Kluyveromyces lactis: one gene and its partner. The protein of the gene in region 1 purifies or fractionates together with the protein of each later gene. This does not show direct contact. Links are inferred from orthologs where the notes say so. Each region holds a gene or a part of one and is shown in the gene's direction. Other genes may lie near its edges.

Region 1 (3,164 bases):
TCCGTTCCATACAAAATATAAGAAAAAGAGTATCACGTGATGGTACACCATCACGTGACGTAAACAACCCTCAAAGCTGCGTGTTATATAGCGCCAACCGGGAACACCGCTATCCGCGTCGTTATTGCCACTTCCAGTAATTGTCCGAGGGCGAATGTCTTCCACACGAGACAATCCCCGGGTAATGCCGCACACCTTACAATGGGAAATCAACTTCCCATTGTAGTAAGAAAAAAAATTTTTTTTTCTTCCCTTCGCTTGCCCTTTCCCATGGAACGTTGTGGAAAAAACTCGACAACAGGACACCCAGAATGCAAAGGGGGCTATGTCTTAGAGCATGTCTGGGACACAGAACCGCGCCCGCCCCCGTTTTGTCTTTTGAACCGAAATAATTCTAGCTCATCGATACACCCATAGACCCATAAACGCATCAATCAAATGAAAATCAAAAACAACAATTTGGACCGCATATTCACTTAAAATGCAGTAGCAGCGGAGGGCGCGTTCTAAAAGTAGGAAACGTCTACGCTACTTTAGGATTAGCCCTCTGGACCGTGTAATGTAATGTCATACCACTTCCATGTCCGAGTGAATGTCCGTGTCTCGGTGCTGGGATGATCCCTGAGATCCCTTGCCCTCGCTCTAATACCGGACTCCCAGTTTCACACATATAAATAGAGGAAAACAAAGTTTAAGATGCGATGCCTTTTCCCATACCATTGGCGGTTGTTTTTGGGATAATTTTAATTGTTCTGTCTGACATATTTTAAAACAGCAAGAAACAACAACTAAGTAACACATACAGTTAACAATGTCTGACAAGATCGAAGAACAAAGAGAAGCTATCCAAGATAAGGTTGAAGAAGTTCAACAAAATGCTGAGGAAACTGCTCAAGAAGCTCAACAACAAGCTGAAGAGACTCAAGAACAAGCTCAAGCTAAGGCTGAGGAAACTCAAGAACAAGCTCAAGCCAAAGCTGAAGATGTCAAGAAGGAATCTCAATCTTTTTCCAAGAAATGGTTGGGTAAGTTGAAGAAGTTGTTTAACTAAAGTTAAAATAAAAACAAAAAAAGCTTCCGCTTTTTTTATTTTATTTTTAATCAACTATTAAAGTAATTCTAACATTCCAAATTATAATCTTAACCCCATTCTCCTCTATTATTATTCCTACTATCACCAACTTAATATACATCTTTATATATTGTCTAATACTTAATAATTAATATGCTTCTTCTTTTATTCAGTGTTTCGTCATATTGAACAATGTCTGGGCGTGTTTTGTTTTGTGTTTAAACTTTCGTTGTCTTATTACCCGGATTTCATAACAACCTCAGTTTCCACAACTTAGCACATCTTTTCAACTTAAAAGTGTTGATAATTCGCATCTCTGTATATATATGGTATGTAGAATAGGCAATATTCAGCATTGTCTCAGGGAAGGACACATCATCCAGCTTGTGCATCAGGTAGAACACCCGCAATTATCATCTGCCATGTTTCAACAGCAACCCCAGGCTCAAGCGGCTCAAGCTCAGGGGAATGTGTTCTCGGAACAAACCCGCAGGAAATATTTCCCACAATTGAAACCTTACTTCCCAAATAACCAAGGCCAGGGTCAAGGCCAGCCTCAAGGGCAGGCTCAGGGTCAAAATCAAACCCAGGGCCAACAGCAACAACAGCAACCCCAAAATATGCCTCCTGGTTTGCAACAAGGAATGCCCCACCCAGTAGTAGAAAACAACCAACTTCCAGGTCAGATGCCTGGGATGGGCCAAGGGCCAACTGCAGGACCAAGTTCAGTTCCTGGGCCAGGTCCCACACCAGCAGGAATAACACATGCGCTAGATGATCCAAATGTCTACCATTGGATATGCCAGCTCACTTACGGGCCAAGCAAAGAACAAGCGCTTCTAGAACTAGGTAAGAAACGTGAACAGTATGAGGATTTGGCTATCGTGCTGTGGTCCAGTTTCGGTGTGATGACGTCGTTGCTAAAGGAAATAATTTCAATTTATCCGCTTCTTTCACCTCCTGCATTATCAAACCAGTTATCAAACCGCGTATGCAACGCTTTGGTGCTCTTACAATGTGTCGCATCACACCCAGATATCAGGCCTCAATTCTTACAGGCTCACATCCCGTTGTTCCTTTTCCCATTCTTATCTACGACATCAAACCAAAGAACTTTTGAATATTTAAGGCTAACTTCACTAGGTGTCATCGGTGCTCTAGTGAAAAACGATTCTGCAGAAGTGATCAGTTTCCTTCTAAGGACAGATATTATCCCATTATGTTTAAGAATCATGGAAAACTCTTCAGAACTTTCGAAGATCGTCGCTATCTTCATCTTACAGAAAATATTATTAGACGATAACGGACTCCAGTTCGTATGCGCGACCCCAGAACGGTTCTACGCGGTGTCACAAGTTTTGGCAACTATGTTTAAGCACATGTCCCAACAACAGGTGCCGGGAAGATTATTGAAACATGTTGTAAGATGCTACCTAAGATTATCGGATAATTTAGAAGCCAGAAGATTGTTGAAACAAGTTTTGCCGCAACAACTAAGAGATAACACCTTCAATGAAGCACTACAGGACGATGTAGGTACCAAGAGATGTCTTGCACAACTACTCCTGACTCTAGATGAACAGCAGCAGTGATCTTGCCTGCTATATCATATATATCTCCATATCCATATATATATATATATATACATATATATCATAATTAAAAAACAAGTGTTACCCTCACTTTCACACACCCGCTTCACTTTTTTTTTCATTCCAAAGGACTTCTACCGATTTGCAAACTGAAAACATTATGAATATAAATATATACCATACCACACGGCAAAAAGAATTGGATAAAACACGAGGTTAATAGGCTCAAAATTGGCTACTAAAGGTTAGTACGTCATTTGAAGGTATCCTAGCACTGCCAATTGCATGTCTGCACAAACTTATAAGAAGTCTGAGGACCCACACAGTGGGTCCTTGCCAGACAAAATGGCGATCTATCAGGATTGTTTGAATCGGTTCAATGAATCTCCTGTGAATCCTAAACTGTGCCGTACCCTGATCACAAGCTTGTTGGAACTATTGTCGCATGGTGAGACTTTCCCTAGACAAGAAGCTACTGCTTTATTCTTTTCCATTTCGAA
Region 2 (4,142 bases), about 810 kb from region 1:
CTTGTTTGGTATCCGTGGATTATAACGCCACGTCCCGTTCACGCCCCCAGATAAGATCCCTCCGGTCCCGTTGGGACCGGCCATGAATGGATGTTCTGGTTCGGATGCGAAAGCTGCCTTAGACTTTAGTTTACCTCCCCCATTCTTCTCCCTTTCCACTTCTAGTTCCTTCACTTTCGCTTGGAATAGCGGGTTATCCCTCAGCGGAGACACAATAGGCCTGTATCCGCTGAACAAAATGTCAGCCGTGAGTTCTTGTGGCGCAAGAAACCTTGTCGTTGGCACGCGAGGAAGCTGTCTATACATTTGTGTGGCTTTGGACTTTGGAAATGGCATTTTCCTATGGTTGTATTATACTTTTTCGATGCTTTGATGCTTTCAACTAGATAGTAAAACCTGTTTAGATTCTTATTTGTCCGACAGTACGTTATCAGACCTTGCTTTTAAATAGTCTGACAAGAAAACACGATATTTCCGATAAACGATTTAATCCCCTGTTTCCTCTGAAAATATTAATCCACCGAGCTTTAGGAAAATCACGTAATTTCACATACTTAAATACTTAAAGCAACTAAGTAATCAATTTCGAGACGATAATCCAAGCGTTAAACCCTTGAACTATATATACTCATTTTATATATGTCAGATCAAAGGATGATGAAACCGCATATGTCATACGTTGCTCACCGAGTCAATCCGACTCGTTTTCACACTATGTCACTATGTGTCTAAATAAGACTTCACACACCCCTGGTTTTTCTTGTGTAAGACTCAAACATTCTGGGGGAAATAGCGGGCAAACCTTCGGGTACCACGCGTGTTTCTAGCTCAGTTTATGGGTGAGAATTGAGATTAGCCAAATTCTGAAAAACTAAGTAAAGAAATGCAAAAACCGGCTAACGGTATATGCAGTGTTAGCTGGTGCTCTCGGCGATATCGGATCAAGGATTGGTATCTCGGGGCGGGTGTGTGGGTGTATTACAAATGTTTAAAGGAATGTGATATTCACGTGAATATCACGTTACTGAACTTTTTTGGAGGAACCCATCTTTTTTTTTTTTTTGAAAAACACATTTACAGATATCAAATGTTATAATACTATTATAGTTTATGTTCTAACATGAGATGAGGTGGGATGAGAGATCGAATGAAATGAAGCTGGGTGTACTTTTAGAGGATTGAGCTGGACTTAACTGAGTCAGTGAAGAGGAACGAACGGAAGAGCTGCTACTGCTTACCCTGGTATCGGTCGTTTGTTTTGTTTTAAGACTCACTCTTCTGGACTATAGAGAAAACCCTTTTCTCTAGCGCCGTGTAATTTGCATACGCATTCCAATTTACCATGCTACAGGAAAAGAGTTCTGTTCAGCGATTATTTTTGGCCGATTCGGATGTTGATGAGAGCGTACTGTTAGAAAAACTCGTCATTGCTCTTTTTACCACGGTTCCTGGACAAGCGGTTGTCACACAATTGATTAATGATGCCAAACGAACAAATGACGTTGATGGGGTTGAGTGTCTGATACGAATGAACGATCCCTACTGGGTGGCACTTTTCGGTACTTGGGCAACTGATAAGCATATTTTGTCATTATTTCTAGGGTGGGTTTTAAGGAATGAAACGGATCATATCGATTTAGAGAGGTATTCAGATCAGTCGTTTAAAATGGCTATGAGATTTCTTCTCACGAATCAGGACCCCAAATTCACTGCACCACTATGGGATACATCCAACATTTTACTAGATTATTTGCATAATGCTAAGCCTTTGATAGAAAGTGTTCTTAAGAAACTTGACGGCTCGCAGTTTTTGCAATGTCTAATGAAATACAACCGATTGTATGAATTTAATGGTTCTTACCAATGGTTTACCCCTCCGCAGTCCACATCACATGCAGAATCTCCAACTACAATTTTAGAACGTAATTCTACTTTTTTATCTACTCTAGGGAATTTTGGTAATGATATGGTTCGTGCTCTCTCTCAGTTGAAAACTGGCGATATACGGCTGAATTCACTAGAATCATACGGAAAGAATTCTGGGCATAATAATCCACCGTTGTCAAAACAAGATGATCACAATCCGTTAAACTTGAATGGCAAATCTGATCGATTTAATTTGTTTTTTAAGCTTGGGTTACACAAAGAGCCTCATCCACTCCTTGCAGAGCAATTTAACTCACTTTGCTTATTTGCGGATCCCATGACTCAACCTCCTCCAAACGATTCTCATATAATTTCATTGGATTTATTGCATGACCTGTATCTAGGTTCTTTGACTGCTTATATTGTTAAACTGATACCCAATTACCAGAAAGTCTGGAAAATTCATTTGAGCGCAAATTTGGAAACTATTACATTGGCTATTTTGCAGATGTTGCAGATTTGGGATTATAGATCTCTAGACAATTTGAAAGATATCCAAGCAAGAAGCCCTGATGCATACCCTAAATACATGACATCGTGGATCCCATACGATCTTTCTCCGCCCGAAATGGAAATTCTTTATATGATTGCAGGATTATCTTTCTATTCGATGCACAAGATGCACTCTGATAAGCCGCCGAGGTTGAACCCATTCTTACCTATGATGCTTCGAGCATGGAGAGGTTTAAGTTCAGCATTAGTGTTAGGTTTGCAAATAGATAGGTTTGAGGAAATGCAGATGCTATATGGTACTCCAGTAATTGTTAGTGCAGTCATTCGTGGAGCTTCTGCGTTGCGCTCAATTATCGCAACGATTCTCAACGGTCATGTGGATGAGAAGTTGCACGATTTTAAACATCAACCTTTTGGTGGGTTCATGTCTCCTCATGGAAGGAAATTATGCAACGGGGCTCTTTACACATATGAAATGTATTATTTCGCAGCACTCCTACCATCAGGTATGGATTATGACGAAATTGTTGAATTATTGACTGATATACAAAAAGGAGATAGAATTGATGAAGATGTCAGATATATGTTTGATTATGAGTACTTTGATTACAATGATGCAGATACAAGTAAGCTAACAGATGGTAAGCTTATGTTTACATCTACTAAAAATGAACTCGAACAGAAAAATAGATTCAGAATGCTTAGGGGACTCTACAAGCGCTGCCTTTGCAAGTTTAGTGATGAAGACGACAATGATGACGATGATGACGATGACGATGATGATGACTATAATGGTGAAAAAAGCGTTGTTGGATTGGATGAGAATGGGCAGATCAATGAAGCTGAAACCCCTCAAACGTTTAGCGAAAGTAGCAATGCTGTTGCTTTCACATCTTTAATGACGCACAGAGACTCTCAAAATGATTTCGTTTCTCATCTTACAACAGGTTATGATAAAAACGGTGATGATTGGAGGGATATACCTCGTGGATTAAATCTATATTATATGGATGATTACCAATTTTTGTCTAAGTTGGACAAAGTTTCTCTCTTTGAGTTGTTGAGACGATTACCAGATAGAAACGTAACGTTTTCTCAAGCCTGTACGGTATTGAGAAGTATTGCAACATGTGTGAAGCTAGAACAAGAACAAATTCTACTGAAATTAATTACGGCCACTTCTGCAGAGGTAGATTTGAAAGTGCTTCCTTTTTCTACTGATGAAGTTATTACGGCAATTTTTAATGATGATGGAGGAATTATAAAGCCTTTTCCATTTTCAGGCTGCAATGATAGCTTAGGGTGGAAAATCTTCGATGAGTTGATGATGAGCCATGGGCACAGAAGGCTCTTAATCTATCACTTGACACATAGGTCGTACACTTTCTCGTCCATCCATTACGTGTATGAGTTGTTATTCGGTCTAAGAGGCAATCCTGCCAGGAGTTATGATTTAGAATCGACTAAGAACAAACAATTGGGGATTCTTAGCTGGACACCCACTGGAGAATTCGAAAGGGTTGCTGCAATTGAATTCTCTAGACAAGGAGTTATTGAACTTTCTGCAATTGAGAAAAAAATGTTGCTACAAGAATTTTTCGTGGGTGTGTCTTCAGGACTGCTAGGTGAGTATAATGATGCGGGTTTTGAAGCTTTTTCAATTAAAAATCCTTCAAAAGTGTATGTAGATGATTATGGTGAGGAGTTCTTCTCTGCAACATCGCGTAAGGCTGAGATGTCTGGGAAAGTAAAGATGGTGTGTT

What was found. Proteins that work in one complex are often made in the same cells at the same time.
Region 2: the proteins of CAF40 (region 1) and CAF130 purify together in Saccharomyces cerevisiae (affinity purification with mass spectrometry; 8 studies listed by BioGRID, with this or other methods). This does not show direct contact. The link is inferred for Kluyveromyces lactis from reciprocal best matches to the Saccharomyces cerevisiae genes CAF40 and CAF130.

Annotation. Positions count from the first base shown.
Region 1 is NC_006041.1:1,171,558-1,174,721, forward strand, and holds CAF40 (CCR4-NOT core subunit CAF40), read left to right. Parts: upstream 1-1,398; coding exon 1,399-2,664; downstream 2,665-3,164. Other genes in the region: SEC21 (coatomer subunit gamma), read left to right, coding at 2,950-3,164. UniProt on the Saccharomyces cerevisiae protein: Acts as a component of the CCR4-NOT core complex, which in the nucleus seems to be a general transcription factor, and in the cytoplasm the major mRNA deadenylase involved in mRNA turnover.
Region 2 is NC_006041.1:359,594-363,735, reverse strand, and holds the start of CAF130 (CCR4-NOT core subunit CAF130), read left to right. Parts: upstream 1-1,342; coding exon 1,343-4,142. Other genes in the region: SUE1 (Sue1p), read right to left, coding at 1-336. UniProt on the Saccharomyces cerevisiae protein: Acts as a component of the CCR4-NOT core complex, which in the nucleus seems to be a general transcription factor, and in the cytoplasm the major mRNA deadenylase involved in mRNA turnover.